Linked DNA regions of Caenorhabditis elegans. The protein of the gene in region 2 interacts with the protein of the main gene of each other region in a biochemical or structural test. Each region holds a gene or a part of one and is shown on either strand. Other genes may lie near its edges. The genes, in order: fbf-2 and lst-1.

The links.
Region 1: the proteins of lst-1 (region 2) and fbf-2 are reported together in a solved structure, tested with the Caenorhabditis elegans proteins (one study listed by BioGRID).

Annotation. Positions count from the first base shown.
Region 1 is NC_003280.10:6,083,213-6,096,539, forward strand, and holds fbf-2 (Fem-3 mRNA-binding factor 2), read right to left. Parts: upstream 8,269-13,327; 5' UTR 8,161-8,268; coding exon 8,119-8,160; intron 8,071-8,118; coding exon 7,837-8,070; intron 7,789-7,836; coding exon 7,613-7,788; intron 7,561-7,612; coding exon 7,308-7,560; intron 7,265-7,307; coding exon 6,651-7,264; intron 6,600-6,650; coding exon 6,471-6,599; intron 6,425-6,470; coding exon 6,221-6,424; intron 6,177-6,220; coding exon 5,930-6,176; 3' UTR 5,651-5,929; downstream 1-5,650. Other genes in the region: F21H12.3 (uncharacterized protein), read left to right, coding at 1-294; nspg-3 (DUF19 domain-containing protein), read left to right, coding at 8,608-8,870, 8,990-9,144, 9,188-9,284, 9,333-9,543; tpp-2 (Tripeptidyl-peptidase 2), read right to left, coding at 9,668-10,554, 10,603-10,946, 10,993-11,230, 11,276-11,746, 11,800-12,590, 12,638-12,865, 12,913-13,327. UniProt on the Caenorhabditis elegans protein: RNA-binding protein that binds to the consensus sequence 5'-UGUGCCAUA-3' in mRNA 3'-UTRs. Involved in the control of stem cells and sex determination in the C.elegans hermaphrodite germline.
Region 2 is NC_003279.8:10,583,532-10,596,129, reverse strand, and holds lst-1 (Lateral signaling target 1 protein), read right to left. Parts: upstream 7,630-12,598; 5' UTR 7,619-7,629; coding exon 7,589-7,618; intron 7,458-7,588; exon of another isoform or gene 7,452-7,457; coding exon 7,383-7,451; intron 7,197-7,382; coding exon 6,651-7,196; intron 6,569-6,650; coding exon 6,315-6,568; intron 6,138-6,314; coding exon 6,050-6,137; 3' UTR 5,666-6,049; downstream 1-5,665. Other genes in the region: T22A3.6 (Kringle domain-containing protein), read right to left, coding at 1-72, 531-579; T22A3.12 (Cilia- and flagella-associated protein 157), read right to left, coding at 643-751, 797-1,041, 1,087-1,185, 1,503-1,603, 1,653-1,656; Histone-lysine N-methyltransferase set-18, read right to left, coding at 2,290-2,427, 2,483-2,827, 3,170-3,187, 3,466-3,606, 3,819-4,269, 4,799-4,944, 4,987-5,181, 5,228-5,317. UniProt on the Caenorhabditis elegans protein: Plays a role in germline stem cell maintenance, perhaps acting in concert with mRNA-binding factor fbf-2.

The DNA.
Region 1 (13,327 bases), on a different chromosome or scaffold from region 2:
CATCCATCTCTCCCAAAATCCTCACTCCGATCACTTGGGACGTCGTTGAGTGCGCTGTCAGTTGATGATATGATTCGCTGGTCAGACTTTGGGCAAATACTGTTTTACTACTTGATCTTTTACAACGCATCTCTTTTACTACAGGATCTCTTTTACTACGGAATCTCTTTTACTAAGAATTCCACATCTAGATCTTTTACTACAATTGGATATTTTACTACGGAATCTCTATTTTATCTCTCTTCTTGGAACAAAACATTTTATCTCTCTTCTTGGAACAAAACAAGATTATAAAACTGGGAGAAGAATTAGTCCGTTCCAATGCAAATCAGAGCCGTCATGACAATAGAGAAATATTTGACAACAAATCTGAAAAATAAAATTCTGATGACATCCATACTTCTGTAAAACTCACTCAAACTGAGAATCCAAGCATCAAAATACCGAGAAGTGTGGAGAATGATCCATGAATTACTGGAACAAAAACTCGATCAACTGCAGATGACGTTCGTTGAGATCTTGTTCCGAGCGCCGTCAGGAATGAGACAACCACATGAACAGTGAATTCGACTCCAATTCCAACTGCGGTGATCAAAGTTACGGCTGAAACCGGATTGAGCTTAATTCCAACGAGTCCCATGAATCCGGCAAGTTCGCAAGTCATGATTCCGAGAATACAAACAACCATAAGTGCAGCCCATGGATTAAAAAGAAGAACGGAAATGACACAGAAGACAGAGATGGTAATGATCGAAATGGCTTGCATAAGATTTCCAGTCAAGAAAAGATATTGTTCCCAGAATGTGAATGCGATTCCTTGTGGGAAATTTGGAAGTCCTTGATCGGTAAATCGTTCACAAACACTTCGGATGTCCTTTATGGCATCGACAATCACAGCAGTATCCGTGAGGCCAGTTAAGTAGAATGGAATCTGCGAATATGCAAGTGGCTCAGCAGTTGGGATGAAGTTTTCGGTATTATTCTTGCTCAATTCCCATTTTGGTGGTGTTGGGAAGAAAGTTGTAGAATCCATCAGAGTTGATAATTCCACTTGCATCAACTAGTCGAATCTTTCCTATTCTTCCAGCACACTCAAATAGAGAACCATGAGAGCACATGAGAGCGTGAGCAAGACGAGCATCCTCGGAAACATTGCTGCCAATAACTGTTCCAGATGTAAGATTGAATGATCCTTTAGCAACTTCTTCATCGAATCCGCGTTGAATACTAATGAGCCAGTCTCGCATTAATCCCAGCCAATACTTTTCTGATGGCTCTTCGTTTTTATTTTTAATCACATATTTTGAAGATCCAATCGACTGTCGGTAATTGTCAATCTGGCGTTGCTGGTGAGCATAATCAATGTTAGGTCCCTTGATGACTGCGAACATTGGGTAGAAACTGAAAAAAGAAAAAAAAATGTTTTGAATCAAAAACGAACTTCTTACCTGAAGTACTTGTCTCTGGCTCTCAAGAACTGTGCAGGTGCAGTATGTTCTGGTAGAACATCTCCCAATTCAAGACCGAGTGTCGACTGACGCATTCCAACAAATGATGCACCGAGCAAAGCACAGCAGCCAACGATGATTGCTACTTTAGATGCTGGTTTAGAAATGAATGGAATGTAGTAGTAACGGATGAATGAATGAAGAGACCATGGAGCTGGATCATCGCTCGATGCCATCTGCGCTTGAGTTATTCCGTCGAACTGTTGCATAATCGAAGCTTCCGAAGTGCTCCAATAATTCGTTTACTTTGAATCTTTGGTTTAGAAATCATCGAGTACGATTCTTCTCTAGTGTCGAAATCACGACGCTGAGCCTTCTTTCGTCGAAGATCAATAGAAATGATCGCTGGATAGATTGTAAGGATAGCTATGAAATTGAATGTGAGAAGAATACTGGACTGAGCACAGAATGATCGCAGAGCTGGAATTGGTAGAAGAGTTCCAGTGAGGAAGGAAAGAATGTTGTTGATCGAAGTGCACAGAATTGACATTCCAGTTTCACGCATCAGGATAGCCATCTCAGCGTGTCCGCCAGCAAGTTTAACAACGTCACGATAGTTGTGCAATAACATGAACATATTATCAACACCGATTCCAAGAGTGAGGAATGGTACAATTTGTGTTGTAGCAGCGTTGAATTCTATTCCAAACCAAGTGGCGAGACCAATACCTGCCACTGAAGCGAATGTGACGACAAGAACTCCTGCAAGGGCGAACCCCCATTGATGATTCTGTAGCCGGAAGGCAGTTGTCAAATCGAGAATTAGTAACAATAGCATATGCCAGCATGAGAGCATATCCAGCAAGGATGATGGTATAGTTGAATTGACAGAATTCCTCGAGCATATCAGCAATGGATGTCGATGCAAGTGGATGCAATGTTCTTCATAGAGAGAGAGAGTTTCCAGAGTTTCTTCCAGGCTCTGCTTGAATCTCAAGAAAACATCGGCGGGGCTTGCAACAAGAAAAACGAATTGTAGAGCATCAGCTCCTGATAGTTTTCCTCCCTTCTTGGCACGTCTTGGATTTCCAAGTATCATATCTTCAGGCCAATTGAGAACGTTAGATGCGAAACCAGAACATCCTCCAGTCATCTCTGCTGCGTAATCAACATTCTGTGGGTACATGTTTTCAGACATCACTTCTGGCCATTTGTCTTTGTTATCTTTTAACCATTCGAAAGCAGACTCCCGGTATGATTTACAATCTGAAACGTGGTTTTATATTTTACTAGAAAAAAAAACGAATTTGCTTACTGCCTTCAAGGCAAATACTGTTTTACTACTTGATCTTTTACTAAGTATCTCTTTTACTACAAGATCTCTGTTACTACGGAATCTCTTTTACTACAAGTTCCGCATTTAGATCTTTTACTACAATTGGCTCTTTTACTACGTGATCTCTTTTACTACCATTTGACCACATAGATCTTTTACTACGGAAAATACTTTTTTACTACCTCATTTTTTACTACGTGGATCTTTCACTACGGTTTCATATTCCGATGTTTTGCTACAGTTTGTATCTTTTGCTACGGTAGACATTTTTACTACAATGGCAGGGATTGTACTTTTCACTATGTTTCGTATCTTTTACTACTAATTTTTTACTACGAATTAAAAATTAATGTCTATAATATTTTATACTCTAGATATAAACAAATGTATGAATAGTTTTTTTTAAATACATAGGTCATAATTGTAGATGGAGTTAATGGAGGGAGACTGTTGGGTTACTGTAGTGGTATTGTGGGAGTAATTCTTTTTTTTTTCGCATAGCCAACAAATTAGTTCCATACCCGTTGCTCTATAAGTTTTGTCTATAATGTCTATATGTATAAGTCTATAATGTAATAAAAAACTTGCGGGTTCGGTCAGTTATCTGTCAGGTGTTTAAAATTTTGACTTCAGCTGACATTTTGAAACTTTTGATCAACACTTTAGAAATGTTTTTTTTCTAAATTTATCGAATCTTGTATAAAATTATTATTGTTTTCGGTCAATTTGAATGTTTATATCACGATTTTAGATTTGAAAAAAAAACGGAGATAAGTTGTCAAAAGTTAGTTCATAAAACGTATTGACTCCAAGTACCGATATCTCCGCGAAAAAACAATTTGGTAAAAAAATGTTCAACTGACAAATCGTAGATCATACCATATTCAACAACTTTGTAGTTGAAAACTATGACAAATAAATTGACGACCGAGATAGGATACCTACATTTTCATTTTCAGAAAATCTTCTGAGTTTTAAAACATTTATAGAGGACTTTTTAAATGTTTCTGAAATTTTTACAAAAGTTTTACAAGAGAGCAAGAGATCATATCGTGTTTTTTTTAATTTCTAGATCCAAATGGCCATAATAAGTTCTGCTCATTTCATAGTGAATAAATTTCCAGAAATTAAAAAAAACACTATATAATCTGAAAACTGTTATTTCCACAATACCACTACAGTAACTCAACAGTCTCCCTCCATTAACTCCATCTACAATTATGACCTATGTATTTTGAAAAAAAATTCATACATTTGTTTATATCTAGAATATAAAATACTATAGACATTAATTTTTAATTCGTAGTAAAAAATTAGTAGTAAAAGATACGAAACATAGTGAAAAGTACAATCCCTGCCATTGTAGTAAAAATGTCTACCGTAGCAAAAGATACAAACTGTAGCAAAACATCGGAATAAAAAACCGTAGTGAAAGATCCACGTAGTAAAAAATGAGGTAGTAAAAAAGTATTTTCCGTAGTAAAAGATATATGTGGTCAAATGGTAGTAAAAGAGATCACGTAGTAAAAGAGCCAATTGTAGTAAAAGATCTAAATGCGGAATTCGTAGTAAAAGAGATTCCGTAGTAAAAGAGATCTTGTAGTAAAAGAGATACATAGTAAAAGATCAAGTAGTAAAACAGTATTTGCCATAAAATTTAAGATTAAGAATAAAGACCAGTAGATGCGATTCCAGCAGTTGAAGATGCAGTACCAGCAAATATTCCAGTAACAACTGCTCCTATTCCAACTACGACTACTTTGTCACCGGAGGAAACCAGAGCTGCAGAAGAAAAAGAGAAAAAGCAAAAAGCCAGAGAATTGAAAGACTGTATTTAAGTAAATTCGTTTTTCTATTAAAATATAAAGTCATGTTTCAGATTATAAATAATACCGGAAGTCTGTTTTCGAATGGTTGAAAGATAACAAAGACAAATGGTCCGAAGTGATGAATATGTATACACAGTGGATGTTCTGGTTTCGCATCTAACGTTCTTAATTGGCTTGAAGATATGATACTAGGAGATCCAAGACGTGCCAAGAAGGGAGGAAAACTATCAGGAGATGATGCTCTTCAATCAGTTTTTCTCGTTGCAAGCCCCGCCTATGTTTTCTTGAGATTCAAGCAGAAGCCTGGAAGAAACTCTATGAAGGCTGGATTAGACATTGATGCATGGAACGAAATTGCTGCTGAACAAGTTCTTTAAGCATGGCAGAGAGAGTTCATCAAGTCACTTCACAATCATAAGGCAAACGTTGATGAGAAACAAAAGAAGAACATTGCATCCACTTGCATCAACATCCATTGCTGATATGCTCGAGGAATTCTGTCAATTCAACTATTCCATCATCATTGCTGGGTCTTGGTCTTGCCACTTGGTTTGGAATCGAATTCAACGCTGCAACAACACAAATTGTGTCAGGAAGTACGAATTTATCTTGACAATTTTAATTTGAAAGTATTTTTGTTTCAGAGTTCTAGCCGAAGAACATTTTCTCGATGTTGGATAACAATGAGAGGATTGCCACCACCTATACGAGGACCACATGAGAGAAGGACCGCCAATGTTCGCGGAGTTCTTCCTCATCCCCAGTATCCAATTTTTGTTTTTCTATTTTCTGAGAGTCCCATTATTTTGAAATCGATGCAATTGTAAGATAAATTTCAATATGATAATTGAACTATATTTATTCTTCATGGTTTCTAATTTGATTAAATTTACAAAGTCAACATTTGTCGGTTATCAGTTTTTTGTTCTCCGAGCAAAGAACAACTTTTCTCTTCGCTTTCAAAATTGTTTTCTGAGCAGGCATTGTATGGAAGCAGGAAGCTCTCGGTGGAAGCATGACAAAGACTCGAACGATATTTTGCCAAGTTGTCTAATTTTATCTGGATTCATTAAAATCGAAAATAAAAAATTAACAAAAACAATGAACAGTAAACAGAAAGAAACAATAACACAACTGCATAAAAAGCAATAAAATAACAAAAAAGAAAAGAAAAAACAAAACTGGGCAATGATAAGAGTGGGGAAGGCACAACATCGATCTTAAAATCGAAACGAAATCATTGCACCAGTTTAAAATATTACAAAACAACAGAACATAAGTGGGTGGGATGAGATTTATGGTGAGAAAGTTCCACCTTAATCATCGCCGTGACTACCGGAAGAAGAAAATTTGACAGAGACTGAAGACTTATTGCTCCGTGGCTCTAGCATCAGGCTTCCTTCCTCGATCCCATTCTTCTCCAACTCCGGACCATCGTGCTCGGAAGCAGTACTGAAGTAATCCGTCTTGAATGAATCGTGTCCCGAAGATTGGAGTTCATAAATCGGATGAGTTGAACGGAGATTGGCAAGCGTCTCGATCATCTTTTTGCCGGATGAGAACCTGAATTTCGAATTTCAAAATATTATTGTGACAATAGTGATAACCTTGACAAGCGATGCCTTTCTTTCGTAACTCTCGAGTGCAACTTTTTCAGCCAATCCTGGAATGAGATTGCATGGTCATAGCCTCCTTCTTTCGTTTGCCGTCTTCCAGACACAGCATCACAGCAAATAGTCAGCATGCATTGAACGACGTAGTTTCCGAATTGATGGAACATCATGATATCGAGGGCATCTTTTCCCGTGTCCCTGAAAAAACATTTCATTTTTATGTGACTGAAACTAATGTTTTTACGGATGTGGAATGTATCCGTCGAAAATCTCGTCCATCATTTCGGCAAGAAGTTCCAATGGTGCATGTAGGAATGCTTTCTCAACAACATGAGAAGCAAACTTTTCCTGGGACAACGAAAGAAGGTTGCGCCTGAAATATTGATGATTAAAAATCAAGTAGATATTAAACAATAACACTCACATGAGGCATTTCTCTATGATACATTCCCGATAAACGGCCAGATCATCATTGGATACAATATGCTGTATTATGTAATTGGCATACTCGTTCGTAGCTAATTCTTGGCACCGATTAGTCACAGAAGTCATGAGTCGTTGGAGCGCTCGTTCACGAAGATTTTGAGCAGCGGAAGTTAAATCAACGTTCATTGAATCAGCAGTGAGCTTTTCGATAATAGTTTGCACAACACGGCACCCATACTTATCAGAACAAATCTGACGGAGGTGCTCTGGGGTGGCAACGAAATCCACAATAAACTCCCAATTCTTCAGTGGGATGACTGCTACGACTTTCTGAATGACGTGATTGGCATTTTGATCAACACAGATTGCGATAAGACGAGCATCACGAGGTAGAGCTTGAACAAGTTTACACGCAAGGGATAAATCCATGTTCTGGAGACTGGATTGGATAACACGACACGCAAATTTGTCCAAGCACATATCTGTCATTTGGGAACTGATGAAGTTCTTCAACTTTTCTTGTCGCTTTGTGTATCCGTCATCATTAGTTGCCAATGAAATTCCAATAACGCTTTGTACCAAATAATTTCCAAAGATGTTCGTGCTCAATTTCTGAAAAGAAAAGTCATGTGTGCTCGCAGAAACTAAAACTTACAAGGAAATCATCTTTTCTCCCAATAACTTGTTCAAACAATTGGAACTTCTGATAAGATGTCAGGCTGCCCTTCACTGCCTTTTCTAGGAACTGGCACCCAGTTTTGTCAACGGCAAACTTCATTAAATCGCCACTATCCAAAACTTCAGAGAGCGACAATCTTGAACGCATTTCACCATTGGAATCCAAGGACCAGGTTGGCAGCACATTGTTTGATCTTGTGAATGATCTAGAGTTCCTCGACAGAGCGGGTCTATAAATAAAAAAGAATAAATACTAGAGGATAGTGATAAATTAATTCGAACCTCGAATATTTCAAATGGTAGTGTTTTGAAGAACCATAGCTCTTGCTACGATCAATATCCGCAGAGAAACATCGGACATTTTGTGAAAAATCATCCGACTCGAGACGCGAGGAATCCGTATCAGACTGAATGAATGATGAAGTTCGGCTACGCGAGACCGGCATGAACACATTGGGCTGCAAATCAGTAATGAAAACAACCAAAAATTGCCTACTCTAACTTACAAAGCTCTGAAAACTCCGAAGGCTCATCAAATCAGTTAGCGGGGTTGGTGGCCGCGATGTAACAATGTGATTCTGTTGATGGCGAGCATAATTAATCCCATCGTTCATATTGAGCATTGAGAAATACGGGTTGAGAGAGTTGAAGTCCCACATAGGTGTCTCATGCTGCGCCATTGGTGATTGTGCGGGAGTCGGATAACTGTCAATCCCTGTAGAAGGAGGCTTCTGGGAAGTCTGTAAAACTTAGGCCATTTGTTTCTTTAGAAGTTACTGAAAACTTACTTTTCTGAACTGATTCGTTCTGCGCATCTTTGATTGGTCCATGTCGATTAGTTGATAATTTTATTAGAATGATTACTCATAGAAAAATTATCAATTCACAGAAAATAGGAATGGGAATATGAAAATAATATTTAAAATCGAATTCGCAAATGACGAAAGTGTGTCACATACTCTGGTGTTTGCGTACTTTGTCATTGTCTACCGTAACCAAATTGAAATTTTCAAATAATGCGAGATTCTAATCACATGTTTCAAGAATTAAAAAGTGTATTTAAAATAATTATCAATTTGATTACTAATGATTACTAGAAACAATAAAAATTTTTGGAAAATTCCGGGACCGTAACATATCAAATTGATAAACACATTTCAACCTCCCGAAAAGCTATAAACCGGTCGACTGACGGTGACGACATTTTACGAGCTATTCTGTTTCAGACTAAACACTTTAAATTGCTCGAAACACAAAATTTTCTTTCCCTATATTTGATGATTTGGAATATTCTCGTTGTTGTGGTTACGATCGTTACTAAATCGCTAGAGACACTCGAAGTTGATTTAGCAGGTCTAGTGAAGCAAACCGTAGCGGGAAACGAAGGAGTGCTGCATAACTGCAGTTCTGATCAAGATCAAGTGCTACAACAATGTTATATAGATATGTTTCAATCATATGGTTCAAATGTGACTAGCCTTCCCCCAGCAGACGAAGATCCATTTAAGAAAATTCGGTACGATGCCACTGGAATGTGTAGGTATGTGAAGGTATTACAACATTGCAACACCTTTTAAATTGTAAAATTATTGAAGAATTTCAATAGAACCGGTTTTACATGCTAGAATAAATATTTTTAAAAAAGACGAATAATTACAGTACATATACAACTCTACGTCACTGTCATAGTGACGTCATCAATGATTGTCTCAACTATAACACTTTCAATGCAATTTTTGGTTCAGAAAGCAATGCAGCTTATTACATCTCACAAACGGGGTTTCTTGAATTCTATTGTAATTATGGAAATGATTGTGAGGTTTTTCATTCTCGTTCATTGTTTTATAAATATTTCAGTTGTGGCATATTATGAATGTATGCAAGCAATCAGTTTGAATGATCTCTCTGACACGATTTATACTGAATGTTCCGTTTTGGAAGTTGGCAGTTGCGAGTGAGTCTAATAGTTTCAGACTTATTGAGATTAGTTTTTAATTTTGAGCTCCGTATCACGAACCACACAATGTGAGCGAGCAGTAGTGAGAAAATCATGTGGAAATAGTGCTGTCAAATCATACTGCCAATATCAGAAGATTCTCACCCACATGACTGGGTGGAACTTCTGTGAGTACATGCCATGCATCAATTCGTCGCAACCTCGAACATTCTTCTTCTTAATAATTTTAATGTATCTCTGCAAAATTTTTGTTTGATCTCATTTATAAAACAATAAAAGTTTATCTATTCAAATGGGAAAATCATTTGATTCACAACGGAAATGGAAGCAAAAAAGCTTCCAGAAAAAAGAAACCCGCGAAATTTCTTATGATACACTAATTAGAAAAGACGGTAGGAGGTTCTGTTTTTGATCAGAGCCGAATTTTTAAAGTGAGTAGCAAGATGATTCCACTCGAGACTTTCGCAGACTTCAGCCAATGATGTATCAACAGCTTGCGAATCAGTAGCAGACGACTTCAGTTCATCTCCAGCTTTGTTGAGAAGCTTTGCACATCTTCCAAATTGTCCAAGAGCAGCTGCATGTTTGGCAGAGATCAGTGCAGTTTTAGTATCATCAGCAGACAACCAAACGAGAAGCTTGACGTAAAACTGATTTCCAGTCCAATTACTATCCAACTTTTTCAGTTCTTCAGAGACAGTTGCATCAATTTGTTCAGATTTTGATTTCAGTGCTTCATAACCTTCAGACTTCTTATTGATCACTTCTCCTTGCTTTCCACCGAAAATTAGAGGAGTGATTCCTCCGAAACGAAGACTTGCTGGAACGTCGAACTTGCTCTTACGAACTTCAATATCCTGCTCCAATGATGAAAGAGCTTGCAAAGCGAGAATAATACTTTTCTTCCGTTCCTCAAATTGTGAAATCAACTTCACCACATCCTTTCGCTGGTCCTCACTGCCTCCGGTTAGTGCCAGCCATTTGTCAACAGTAAGGAGATCATCATCATGTTCTTGCTTGACGGATGAGAACTGAAGAGTTTCATTCGGTTTTGTGATTTGCAAAATTTGACCACATAATTCAATAATCTTCTGCACGTTTTCCGGTGTTTGATCCACAAGTTTTGCTTGCATCAATTGCTTTACTCGATTCTGAAGTAGTGGGAGATGATCTGGATACTTCTGCAGACAAGCTTCGAAAAATTCTTTCGCTGCCTTTTCGTCTGTCAATTTTTGCACCCATGATACTTCCAAATCGCGAATGGCGTCTGTAAATATGAATTTAATAAAAGATACAATTTTTAATTATTATCTACCAGTCATTTCCTGATTTTGATTCGTATCTTTCTTTGTTGTAACCATTGACAATCCTTTCGTAGGACGAGTAGAGTACTCACTGAGAAAGTAAATAACTTCAGATTTGTCTACATCACTCAAATCAGAATCCTTGAGAGCACTAAATGTTCCAGCAAGGAAACTTCCACTTGTTGGTACGATAGTCTTTGGCAATTTATCATCAGCGATATTCATAGCGTAGACGGTCATTTCTTGATTTGGAAGAAGGGCTTTTCCAGCAAATTTGCACTCTTTTCCAAGTGTTGCATCGCTGGCAGAAGCTGCGAGGTCAACAGAAATTTTGTTTCCAAGTTTCACATGAACACTGAAACACAAAAATCATTTCAGTTAGAATTTAAAGAATTACTTACAGCAGAGGAAGTTCCTTCATTCCTTGCAAAACTTGATCATCCGGATATCTAATCTGAGCCTGAATAGTATAATCTCCTTTCTCAAGCTTCTGAGTCCAACGATCCGGGTACGAAGAAGAAGCACCCACAAACGACTTGTTTGCTCCGAAAATTTGGAAGAGTACACAGTCCACAGGAGATTCATACAAATATGGAGTAAGGCCAGCAAGTTGAAGTTGCACTTCACTTGGTTTTTGAACTGAAAAAATAATATTTTAATAATTATGTAGTTAAAAAAGGTTACCTTTAAGCTGATAAGTCAACAGAAGACGATTGATTTGAAGTCCAGACGTAAGGAACATATCACGTGGTCCCAATGGTTCTACTTTGGCAGATTGTGGTTTCAGTGATACAACAAGTGATTTTAGAGAAATCGAAGGAGAAACGTCGATACTTTTCGTTGGAGCAGCTTGGAAGCGAATGGGCGTGTTAGTTGCTCCATGAATCAGTGAAATAGAAGTTGGCTTTTTGACTCCAAAGAAGTCGATGGTCATGTCAACATCCACAGGATTCTTTCCACGTGACCAAGCACGAACAACACATGCTTCAAGAGTCTTTCCACCTTGAACAGTAATCGACTTGCTCCATTCATTTCCAATTGGACCCTGTATTTTTTGAGTTTCTGTGTTTCGGGAACATTTATCATCCTCAATGTAGACCGTATGAAGTGTAAATCTATCCATTTCGTCTTTGTTAGTAGATCGGAGTGTTATCTCTGTAAAATGATGAGATTAATAGAATTTTCTTTAATTTTCATTTTTTACTTACTTGCACTGGTTGCCCACGACGGTACTTCGACAAATCGTCTTTCGGTGACTCCCGATTTACCAACAAGTCTAGAAGTGTATTGATCAACCGCTACCTTCTCAGGATTGATTACAGTAACCGGAATACGGAAAATCGGTCCCAATGATGGATCAGCCGTATCAATTCCAACAATTTCAGTGTAGTTTGCACCTTTTGGTGCTTTTGATGCATCAACGGTCACAACCATTGTTCTTTCTTGAGCTACCACAAACATTGTTTGTGGATGAGAAACCCATGGAGCAGTTGATTGTAAAATAATCTGTTTCTCAAAACTGATTGCAGGTAAATTGTTATCAGATAGATGATTCTGGAAAATTGGTTCAACGCCAATCGTGAATTCCTGCGGTCCATTCCAGTTAGGCTCACGAACATATACACCTTTCGATTTCTTGCAGTGATTCGATACATTGATCTCGAAATGTGTCAGTCTTGGTGGGAACACTTTATTGACTAAAATCTCGGAAAGTTTTTCATACGCAGTGGCGATCTTGATCATTCCTTGTCCTTGCGAAAATGACTCAATATGTGGAAGCATATAGGCAGTATTTTCCAATGCCATGCGAACGGTGTATGGAGTCCATTTCAAATTATTCTGCTTCAATCCTGACAGCATACAAGCGACATTTCCAGCTGCATTGGGAGAGCTCATACTTGTTCCATTCATCATTTGCATACTTTGGCGACAATATTGAGGAACTCCAGCAAATGCAGCCGCTGGAGCCACAAGACTAACTCCTAGCTTTCCGTCTTGGCTGAAAAATGAAAGTTTTAAATTCAAGAACACTGAAAAAAAACTTACCATGGTCCTCTAGAGCTCCATGGGTAAATACTACTTTCGACAGGCTTGTAAACACCGTAGAGCGTATCAGCTGATTCGGAAGTTAAATAAGCACCAATTCCAATTACACCAGTTGTAGTTCCACCAGGAGCACCGACAGTAGAAAGCGCAGGTCCTTGATTTCCAGCTGAGCAAACGTAGATCACGCCTCGTCTATTAATCAATCGTCGAGCTTCTTCAATGACGCGTCTGAAACAAATCTCTGAACGCTGAGCAATAGACTAACGATGTCTTACCCAACATCCGGCAAATGAGTTCCTTCTCCGAATGACATATTAATGATATCGACGTTCAACTCGGCGCACATATTGAATGCTCTCGTCATTGCTTGTCCAGTTTCCATAGCTCCCAAACGATGATCTCCAATGTTTAGTGAGAGAATTTTTGCTCCTGGAGCAAGTCCATTCTTTTGAGGATTATCTGGATAGTTTGCAGCAGCGATTCCTGCAACATGGCTTCCATGTGCACCAGATGGGACGACGATTTCCGTGAGGTTTCCATCGGGACTCACTCGCACAGTATACACAACAGAATCCTTATTAGTAAGATAAGCATAGTCGCCAGTTTCACGAAACGTTCCGAGCACATTGCCCAATCCTAATCGTCCACGGAAAGATGTATCAATGCATACTCTCCACATTTCACCATCAT
Region 2 (12,598 bases):
CGCAATCATCGGATATCGAAACGTTCACAAACTTTTGTGAAAACGTTCGAGTAAAGCTTTTTGTAAGAAATACTGAAATCAAAATATATGTAGCCTTTAGGCTTATTTGGATAAATGGACTGACTTCCTTTTGAGAGGTGCTTTTTCATAGAGCCGGAAACCGTATACCTTTTTCCTACCAGTGTGCCTATACTATGCCTAAATACCTGCATGCCAGCCTCATGCTGGTAACTATAGGTTTCCCAGCCTATCTTGTGCTTGCCTACGTACTTCCCTATTCCTGCCAGTCTAATTCTAGCTTTTGACTACACCATGCATGTACCAATATTAGCCAGTTTAGGTGCCAACATCATGACTGTCTACGTCACTGCCTCATGCCTATCTGTGTGCCTACCTTATTCCTGCCTACATATGCCTGACATCTATAGGTTATATTTTCCACCAATGCTTGCTTCACCCCATTCCCGCCCGCCTACATGCCTTTCTATATACCTACCCCCGCCTGCTTCTTTTGTAAATTATGTGCTTACCATTAACCAGACCAGTTAGAATTAAACACAATTTCCAAGAAACCATCATTTTGAACACACAAATGTTGAAAAATGATAAGAAATTATTTTATTGAAGCAAATAAAATTAATTTCACGAAAGTTTTTTCTTTGTCGGACTAATTTTCGGGGCCGTCGCTGTTATCGATTTCGATTTTTCAGGTAAAATCCCAGTTATGGTGTGTTGAGATGGAGAAATGCGTCTGTAAAGTATTCATTAATTGATTGTACTTTTTTGGTAAACTTACGGTAATTCAATACTACATTTTTTGACAGATTTCGCTGGTTTCTTTGGTGGCTTATACCATCCAATAAAAATCAAAATCGTAATTCCATAATTGTAGATTTTGTGTCCCAAAGCTCGAATAATCCCATTCTTTTTATGTTGCCGTTTTGCAAACGTCACATTCCGTCGAAAATCATCATATTCTCGATTTGCTTCCATCTCTTGAGCATCGATTTCGTCGAGCTTCTCCTTGATTTTTTCGAGTAACTGAAGATTGGCAGGTGATTTTTCAGAAGTTGAAGAATAAATTACCTTTTGATTGTGAGTATGAACTGAATCAAATTTTGATCTCAGATTTCCCATTTTTTGAGTGATTTGATGAAGACGGAGACTCATGAGTTCACTCACTTCCTGTTAATAATAGTTACGAATTTGACAAATTCAGGTTTATTTTTCAAACTGAATTTATGTGTCAAACGCCACGCATTGTCGGTGAACCAAAAACTTTCTAATGAAAACAAATAAAAGGTATGTGCGCCTTTAAGAAGTACAGTAGCTGTTTAAAGTTCTATCACAAATTTATTTCGTGGCGAGACCCAAGTAAGTCTCACCATCGGGAAACTACTGTACCACTTAAAGGCGATTTGAAAACTAGCTTTGAAAATTAGCTCTGAAAATGCTGAAACACCGACTGAATGCACCATAATTTACGCGCAAACAGTGTATACCGTATTCCGCTGAGAAACATTTTCCAGTGATCGACGTAGATTTTTCTCATGATCATCACATATCTTCGCTAGACTATCTATTCTTTCAAATTCATTCGTTGCTGAAACATATTCATTTTTCTTTGAATATAAATAATTCCAAAAACTTACACATTTTTTGGTTTTAATATGAAATATTTCGAAATGAGCAGTCGAAATTCAAAATTTCTGAATTTTTATAAGAGACTACACTCGAAATAATAAAACTGCGTGGCGTGTACTGCAGAAAACCTCATAATTAGGCCCCGCCTTTTTATCGTCCACTCACGGGGAAAAGGCAAAATTCGGGGACCAACCAATATCAGGCCGCCGACATCTCATGGGTTCCGCGCACCGCTATGTTTAACTCGTTGTGGGTGTGGCAAGCTGTCTCCGCCCGCTGCGAGATAAACATAGCGGCGCGCGGAACCCATGAGATGTCGGCGGCCTGATATTGGTTGGTCCCCGAATTCTGCCTTTTCCCCGTGAGTGGACGAAAAAAAGGCGGGGCCTAAATATTAGGTTTTCTGCAGTACACGCCACGCAGTTTTATTATTTTGAGTGTAGACTTTGTTTATTTCGATTTTTATAGAGAAAAGTTCACGTTTCGATGTTCAAAGTGTCGAAGTTAAAAGTTTTAAATGAATTTTTTAAAAACCAATTATTTATTGCAGAGGAACGTATAACAAATTAGCAGGAACGTTGGGCTACCAACAATTGAAAAAATAAAACAAAATTAAAAATTTTATGAAGCAAAATTTTTAACCGGTTAAGCAACACCTGGAGTACCAGCAGCATACGGTGGCGGTGGAAGCATGTTGGCTCTTTTCAGGAGGCTCACAATATCAATTGGACGATTATCGGAGAAATTTGTGAGTTGAACGAGTTCTTCGGTTGATTTTGGAATCTGAATTTTTTTGATTTTTAATGCAAAAACTCTTAATTAAAAAAATTTTAAATACCTTTTTCTCTAAATAAGTCCACAATGCAAGAGTTTGAAGGTAATATGGATGGTCTAATCCAAAGCAAACTTCGAAAATATTCATAGCATCAAATGCGTATGGCATGGCTTCATCTCTCTCGTCTTTTTCAATTAATGCTTTTACAATATGAAGAAGTTGGAATCCAACGTGTCGATCTGCTTTCGGGAAACACATTTTATAGTTGTTGTAGATTTGTGTATGCATTGAGGATAGATTATCCATCGTAAGAGTTCCTGTGACGTGGAATAATGCGGTTCTGAGTCTTGCCACGTAGACATTTGATGGATGCAGTATTTGTTCGGCTTTTGCAAGGAGTTCTTTGAGCTAAAAAGTCAAAATTAAAAAAGTTTACTGGAGCCCTATGAGAAGCTGGGGGGTTTTGGAATGAATGTGCTCTAGGGTAAAAAACGAAAAAGAATTGCATCGACCGGGAATCGAACCCGGGCCGCCCGCGTGGCAGGCGAGCATTCTACCACTGAACCACCGATGCGACGAAAACTTTCTGGGAACCGAGGATATTTGAAGCGTAGAGGAGAACGAAAAATAGTGATGGATAATAATGTCGGAGAGGAAGATGGGGAAATTGTGGAGGGGAGAGAAATCGTAGGGAAAAGCAGGGAAGGAGTGTCCGAGGAGAACACACGCCTTTGAATATAATAAACAAACCTTGCCTGGAAGAGCTTCCTGAATTGGGATTTATCATTTACCGAGAGTTTTGTCTATTTTATTCAGAACTCTACATATTAATATTTCAATTTAAACCAAAGCTAATCATTTGAAAACTTGCTTAAAAATTAAAATATTGCAAAGGCTTTATTAAACTATATATGTATGGGTCCCACCGCGTGCTACCATAAACAGTTCTTCGTGGCGAGGCCTATCCTAATAAATTCTTGCGCCTTTACTTTTCAGAAAGTTACAAAGATTACAGTACATTGTTATAATAATCAAAGAAAACTTACAATTTCTGCTGGACACTTTGGATCAAATGATGCTGGAAGGGTTTTCATGTATTCTTGAGCTGCTTTTACAGTATCCTCTTCGACAATCGTTTTGCATTTTTCACAAGCAATGTTCATTGGTTCTTCAGTTTCAGATGTTAGCTGGAATTTCGCTTTGATTCTTCAGAAAATGAATTAAGTTCTAGAGCAAGTTTTGTTGCCAATTCAAAGGGCTCGGGTCTCGTGACGAGCGAAACTGTTCAGCTACAGTACTCTAAGTATACGTTTCAGAAAATTGTAACACTAGATCGACCGATCGAATTGAACATTTGAATTTCCTGCAAAAGCGTTTAGATTTTGAAAAAAAAACTAACAATTGGAGCATCACAAGCCGGATTTGCACATCGAATAGCTGTCAATGCATCATCTTCTGGATCCATACATCTTGTACATTCACAATTAAAATACCATCTTGAATTTAAATCTCTTCTTCGAATATACTTGCTTCTTCCCACATCAATATACGAAATGAATGCTTCTTCAGTATTTTCAGCATCAACACCTGGAACCAGTGGTCGAAGACATACACGATATCCATCAAAAACCATTGAACATGTTGGACGACATGAATGATTATACTTTGAAACACCCAAATCAAGAGCCATTCCGACTTCATTTCCAGCATTTGTGTGAATACTGTGAGAATTGATTGTAGCCTTACAGAATACATCGAAGAATTCGCCTTTTTCAATCATTTCCTCTCCTCGGAAGGCTCCCATTTTCTCGAAGATTTTCTCAAAATGAGCCATCTTCTCCTCGTCGTCTCTAAAATTGTGTTTTTGATATTTTTCAAATATCTTAAAACGCCTATTCCATGGCTTCGAAAAGCTGAAAATCGACCTCCGCGTTAATCTAATTTGAATTTCGCGCGCAAATGAGTGCTCCAGTGCACTCGCGCGTGTACTCCTCTCGGACAATTAACTATTAGTTAATATTTTAGATTCCTAGCGATTTTTCGTATTTTCATGATTTTTCATAATTCATTTTGGCTTTTATTTGTAACAAGCATGAACAAAAGTAAGAACATTTATTTTTTTAATCGAATATTAGAAGAATACCATCTAAACAAATAGTTAAAATTCCAATTTTGCTGAAAAATTCGTTAAAAGTATTCTGATTTTTGTTCTATTTCGCGTTTCGCGTTAGCGTTTAGTAAATTGGTATGTTTTCGTGCTCTAGAAAAATTTATACTGAAAAGATACGAAAAGTCGCGACAAAATCTAATTAAATTGACATAATCGTTGATTTTTGACTCTTGAAAGATCCTATTCACCAGTTTTTCAATTATTCTCACCTGATATCAACCTTATGGTCAACCAAACTCGAGAATTTCCTCTCTGCCTCAATTCCCAATTTATCTCCATTTTTCTCCAAAAACTGAATACGATCGATAACTTTTGAAAGGAACAAAACTTCAGTGAGTGGAAGATTTGGGAAGCTCTCAAATTTAATATTAATTCCAATTTTTAGTTAGAAACCCACAGCTTTCAGTCTTTTGCATTCTGGTTTATGAACTAACCAGGCAGTTGCCTGACACTCTTTACTACAATACATTGAGAAATTACATCCACCACAACGAAGAAGCTTCTCTCCTGGAGCAGGACCACGAAGACAGTTTGCACAGAATTCGCTCACTTTTGGATTGAGAACTTGAGTGGCGAACGGTGTCTCGAAAATCTGTAATTTGATTTTTAAGAAATTAAATAAGTACAAAAAAAATCACCTTAATTCTAGCATGAATCGACGAAATTTCGTCTTTCTGAACCAATGGATCCTCCTGTTTTGGCACATTCTTATTCTTTTTTACAGCCATTTTCAGAAGTTTCAGTAGAAAAATAAATGTTCACAAAAAGTGTCGAATAGTAAAGATTTTTCGAGAAGAAACAGGAAAAAGAGGGAAAGGCGGAGAGTTCGCGAGATGTGGATGAGTGTAATCACGGCAAATATTACACACGAGAAGCCTCTTGGAGCACCCCTATGCATCGATCCTTCGAGAAGTTTGTTGAAGCATGTTCAATCTATTCGCGCATGATATTATGTTTCCAGTGATCGATGAATAATGTGTGGAAAATTCCGAAAATCTTCAACTGTGTGCCTCATCCCAATTTGAGATTTAATTTCTGAAATTCCTGCCAATAAATGAATAAGAATAGCGAAAAGTAAATATTTGACATCTTTATTTTATCGGGCAAGATCCCACCAGAGACAAAAGAGCACATGGATATACAGCGAAAGATTGGATGGGATTTGAAATTCACATAATTCGCACAGTTGATTATGTTTTATTAAAAAAGGGAAGGGGATCAAAAAACAGGGATGGTGGTAATATGTAAGTTAAACATAAAATGGTGTGTGTGGCAGGAGCTAATAAGGATCAGAAAGAATTAATATAAAAAAGAAAAACGCTCACACGGAATGCCCGTATTCGTCAACAAAAGAATCAAGAAGAGAACCGCATTTTTTTGGATGATAGTGTAAAACAAGAAGAACATTTGAAGGGGGTGGTAAAATATAAATTAATTGATATTTAAACCAATTTTATTGCTTAGACTGGAACATTTCGAGCGTGTCCCATTTGTTCGACCATTTCTGAACCGGCACGATCGAGTTGAGCAAACCACAGTCGGGGACATCTGAAATAATAATAATTTGAGAAGATTTTTTTAAAAAAATTATTAGATTTTCGAAGTTTAGATATTTAAAAATCGAAAAAATTACGAATTCCAACACAATTTTTTAAAAGAAAATTTTAGGTCGTGTTTCGATAAAAATATCAATTTTTAGATTTCAAAGAATAAATAAAAACATACGTGACTCGTCCTTGCATATCATAAAGTGTATGCCAATTCCATGGGCCATCACATGAGATGAGTGGTTCGAGATTTGCAACTCGTTGGCACAGTTTCACATACGACTCCCAGCAATAGTGACACCGAACCCATGTGCCCGGAGACATTGGAACCGATGCTGCAGACGAATTGGACGTCACGTTGGAATTGTAAGTTGTTGGCATATAATCCACATATCCACTTGAACGCTTCACGTTGGCATATGATAACTCCGACTGAAAAAAGTAAATTTTTATTGAATTTTGAAAATTATAATTTGATTTCTTTAAAATCACTTAAAATTTATTTTAAACTCACCGGCATTGCAACTTTTGGAACAATTGGTGCGACATGTCTCGTGGATCCATTTAGACGACTCGACCCGCTGATCTGGCTCACATTGTTACGGGATGTGCTGGTTGATGGTTGCACTGGTTGCTTGTATCGACAATCAGGCAAAAGAAACATGTCAAGATCCACGTCAACTGATGGATCCATGATTTCGTGGATTTTGTTCTCATTGTCTGACAATGTCAATCCAGAAAACATGTTCTCCGACGAAGAAGCCGACGAAAATCCGGAAGATGGTGTTCTCATCAGTGGTGGTGGGCCAGACGTTTTTCGAGAATTGTAGTGTGTCGGGCGATCAAATGCATGATAATGCTGTTGTTGTGGAATCATTGCACGAACTCTCTTGTTCTTCTCTATATACGTCAAATGCAATTTTTGACTTCTCAGGCCCGAACGTTGTTGGGGAGAAGATGACAAGCTGGAGAGAACTCCGCTATCTTGACTGGATTCCCAAAAATTGGAAGGTTGATTGAGCGGAATCAGCGGCTTGATTTCAGATCGGAGTTGAAGCAGCTGAAATTAATTTTTATTAATTACGTCTATTTAATGAAAAATTATTTATTTTAATTAAAAAAGAGCAAAATTCTGTTTTTGGAGCGCAAAATTCTATTTAGTGACGAAAGCCACGTGAACGGCGTGACAAAAAATAGGTCAGTTTCGACACGTTTATATAAACGAAAAATAAAACTTCCAACTCACTTGCTTCGGCGCCTCGTGTTGCGACTTCGAGTAGGCGATGGTACTACTGCTTTTGTTGCAGTTGTTTCTCTGAAAAATGATAATATTATTATAAAACTGAAGGTAATAAAAGAAATGGAGAAAGTTGGAGAATCGGGATCATCGTTGAAACAATTCAATCGGAAAGAGAAAATACATATTTAATTTCAAAAAAAAAGTGAACTCACTCTTGGAGGAAGAATAAAAGTCGAACACATTGTCTCGCGCGAAGATTGAATAGTCAAATAATTCTTTTGAAATGAGAAAGAACATGGCACCGACGAATAATTGGACAATTCATCGAAAATAACAAGCGTGGGAAAGTTGTCATTTTCCCACGTATTTTCCCACGCCTGGGGGAGGCGTGGGAAAATGCAATGGAGCAAGAATGCAAGAGCTTTTTTGAATTTCGCGGGCTTTAAAAACATTTAAAAACATGTTTTTAATCGACAAAAAGTTTATTTTTAAAGAAAAAACATTGGATTAGTCTGAAAATTGAAAAAAAACCTCAAAATCGCTTGGGCAAGCAATTAAATTTGAGAAAAACGTTCCCAGATGGGAAAGAAAATAGTTTCCCATTAATCGAAGCCGCTCAAAAAGGTGTGCGCCTTTAAGATGTACAGTAACCCACTCCCCTTTCGCAATTTTCTTAAGCTTTTTCTAGTTTTTCTATTTCAAAAATAAGCAGAATTACATGAAAACCTGAAAAATAAGGCAAAAAAAAAATCTTAGCGAGAAAAAAATAACGTGTAAAATTCCTTGCAAGCGGGTTACTGTATTTCTTAAAGGCGCATACCTCTCAACGCGTCCCGGAATTGGAAATATTTCGTTCGTAAAATATAGAAGTTTTAAAATTGGAATGTAAAATTGTCATCGAAGCCTCATCAACCTAAAATCCGAACACTTTCAATCGGAACTAATCTAATTTCAATCGAAATGGGGGAAAAATGAAAAGAGATGAGAGTAATTAGAGTGACTAAATGAAACGATAAAAACTACGACAGTAGGTGGTCAATAACGGCAGGTAGAAGATGAATGGAGACCTCTTCTTTAGGAGAAAAGAATGACAAGATGAATCATTGAACAATACAGCCATTTGTCAATTTGAAAACATTTTGGGAAGATATCTAAGCATTCTCAGATGTTTGGGAAATTGGAACTTATCAAGGAAACATTAAATTTAAACGGAAAAAAGGTTTAAGATAACAAAAAAGCGACATTTCAGACACTTCGAAGATTTTATTATCGTTTTGAAAACGGAACTGCATGAAAATTTTGTTTTAAAAAAATAAAAAATAAAAATATTACCTAGGTACGAAATTTTGCAATTTTTACGACGAAAATAAAGTACCAGGTCTTGAATTTATGTTAAATACAAGCAGGTTTGCGCCTTAAATCTACAGTACTCCTTGAGACTACTGTAGATTCAAAATGTTCGTTTCCGTCGAATTTTCATCGATTTTTCAAAATAGTTTTTCTTACATTTGGCACAATTTATGTGTTTTTTCTAATTTTTATAAATATTTAAGTTTTATAAAAAATTTTACCGAAAACCTACGAAAAAATCTTTGAAAATTCTGCAGCGATCACCACAAAAATGGGCTATCAAAACATTTTTTCGTGGCGAGACCCATCCGAATGGACCTGTGTGCCTTTAGCTTACTTTGGTGCCATACAATAAAATTTCGATTGTAAAGAAAAAACTACAAAACAACGAAAACTATAAAGTTTCCAAAAACTTTATCACTAGGAACGCGATTCAATTCTCACTAACTTTCTTTTTATCAAATCACACTCAAAATTCAATAAACCGATTAACTAAATGGAATGCCGTCAGTAGTAACAATTGAAAGATTATTAAAAGTGTAAACTTCAAGTGCAAGCTCTCCTTCTTATCAGTTTTTTGTCACGTATTTGAACAGATGGAGGAACATGAGAGACAGATTGAGGTCAAGTATTCGAATACTTTAAAGCTGGAGGAAAAATAAAATTTTAGTTTTCTAGAAGAATGCTTACTATTAGTAATAAGTTAAGAAGTAATCTTCTTCTTAAAATCTTAAATAAATAGCGAACATCTTATGTTTCGAGTAAGTGAAAAAGTGTACACAAAAAACCTGTGTGCTATTTGAACTTTATCAGTATGTAAATATTTAGATGGCATTCGGGAGGTTAGAGTAAACCACCCAATATTTTGTTTCTAAACTATTTTACTTACTCACTAAATATTAGTTATCGCGTAACCTTTCGACGGGGGGCGCAACTCACAATCACCCTCTCTCACCCGAAATCGCCTCCGGAAAAGAGAAGGTGGCCTGTGATTCTCAGACTTTGGTAGCTCACAACTTGACTATCTTTTTGCTAAATTTAAAAATTGCAAACTAACATTGTGATAATAATTTATTTTTCTATATTTTTGTAATTAAACATTTTTAATAACTATATAATAAGCCAAGAAAGGTCTATTTAAGTGGAGCGACAAAAACATGGTGCACCCAAGTACTGTTACTTTGTTAACTTATATCTCGGTTAAATTTGCAGGTACAAAATTGAACATAATAAACTTTTCGTTAGTTAGTAATTTTTTGATAAATCAAAACACAACCCAGATATGAGCTCCCAAAGTTGGTGCATGGAGGGGGACTACTGCTTAACTTTGACATCTCATAACTTAATTATATTTTGTTTAATCCTTGGAAAGTTCCACAAAAATATTAATATTTCATTTTGCTATATTTTTGTAGTGAAAACCTTATTGAAATCTATGAAGTGAGCCGAGATGGCCAGGGCTCGTGGTATTTTTCTTTTAAAAAAATTCAGTTAAAAATTAAGAACAAATATTTTTCCCATAAACTACATGCTACAAAACTATTCAGAAACTAGTGTCACGACAAAAAAAGGACGTAATTGGAGTAAATGAAACGATAAAGTGTCAATGGTCGTCCCGAATAACGGGTCGGATGCAGCAGTGATGAATCATCAAAAAGAACACACGACGCCCACTCTCTACTTCTTACCCGTTATGGTTCTATTTGCTGCTGCCCTGCCACGACTGTGTGTGAGCAGAAAAAAGAATAAAGAGAGAGAGAGAGAGAGGTCAAGACAAACATAGAAAACGATGAAGACAGAGAGGGACAGTGTTCTTCTTCTTCCTCTACTTGTTCATTTTCTCGCGCATCGTATCTGCATACTCTTCCACTCTTTGATATCGATATCTCTACGTCTCTATCCCTCTCACTGTCTCTCTCATGTTCACCTTCATATGGACGGACAGGACACCTCGAGCCATAGCGTGTTATTGGTGACCTCGAGAGACAGAGACAAAGTGTCACTACGTACACCCTTTCGCGCGGTAAAAGCAACATTTTGGAAGAGACGGAGAAACTAATGAGAGAATATGAGAACAAGAGGAAGGATTCAAGTAATTATTATGAATAGGGAGACAGAGAAATAAAGAGATTTGAAAAGGTGATAAGTTTGCGAAAACGACGGATTATCTGCTAAATTAGAGGTAAACAGACGCGAATAATATCCCAAGATAGGTCGCATGCCTACCTACCTACCTAGAGCATACTGTAGAATTAATACAATACTGAATGTGTGAATTTATACAATACTATGTGGACATCAAACACAGAAGAAAACAAAAGACAGGCAAGAAGGCATAGATAGGCATAAGTGCCTGCCTACCATAAAAGCCTTATAGGGAGCTTTTGGCAATTTGTATCAAACGTTTAAAAAAAATTAGCAAACATCTCTTAACGTTTTTCATTGGTTTTTCCGAATGGATCTAGTTTTCAGAAGGCGGACGGGCACGAGGAGGGCGATGAAAGAGGCTTAACATATATTTTGGAGCAAAGTTTATTTTCGAGAAAATTTCATGAATCTCATGGTCCGACACCAATTTTTTATCTTGATCTATTTTCCTTTTGACTTTCTCAATATCAGTAAGGTTTTTTGTCTTTAAAAGTCTGAAAGTGTCTAAAACCCAAAAAAAAAAATTCCAGAAAAAAGGATAACAGTTTTGTAAAGGAGGAAGTGGAAATGGAACGAAAAAAGCACATTCAATGAAACGGTTTTTGGTGGTTTTGATGATCGTTTTGTGAAATCAAATTGCGATGAGACTCGTACAGTTTCCTATTTGTTTTGCAGTTTTCTTTTGACCACACACAAATAGAACATGAATACTTCACCGAAGAATGCAAATAAAACTTGACAGTTTTGATATTGGGCATATTGCAAAAAATAGTTATTTTGAAATTATAAGAGTAAACGTTGTTGTGTCATACAAAAATGAGTCATATGATGATATATTTATGACAATTAGTTTTGGATGTTCTGCCAAAACTTGTCTTTTGAACGGGAAAAAAGTTAATCCCGATGAACGGTTTTTTGGGGATATGAGGATGGCTGATTTACGCCAATTTTTAAAAATTATTCGCAGAACCGGATGTGTGAAATCAGTCTGGACAGGTAAATTGGTTAGAGGATCCCCCCCTCTGATTTTTCAGAAAAAAAATTTGCAGATTTAGAGGTGAATTTTTTGATTTCAAGTAGCCAATATCTTTATCTTTTGATTTACCTCTCGCCCGAAAAGCTTCCCTGGAAAAAATTAACAGAATTTTCAGATTTGCAATTTAAAGATTTTTTAAAGCAAACTTTTTAGTCTGGAAAAGTATGAATCATAATCAATTTTTTTTAACTATCTGTCTTCAGATTTAGTTTTTGGATATTTCTAGATACTTATTAAATTGTAAAAGTAACCACGAAAAGTCAATTTTCACAGAATTGAGACTTATCACTATGAAAGCTAACAAACACAGTTAGTTTACTCTGAACAAGTTTAAAAGTAGACAATTTTTTCCGTTTTCAGAGTATAGCATTGCGAGTGCGAGCACTTGGATTTCTGGTGTGTAATTAATTATAATGATACCTTGCAACCACATATAACTCTGCACACAAAAATAGAACTTTTGAAAAGATGACGCGAATAATACATACAAAGTATATATTTGGATAATCTCTTCAGAATTTTAATGATATTTGTAAAGGAGAAAGATAATTGAAGTTGGCAAAAAAAAATTGTAAATCCCATTCAGGGGCTGAACTTATTTATTTATTTATTTATTGAAATACGTTATTCAACGTGTAATAGACATTAGACAATTACAAATAAGCAGAAGGGTCATTTCCTACGTGTT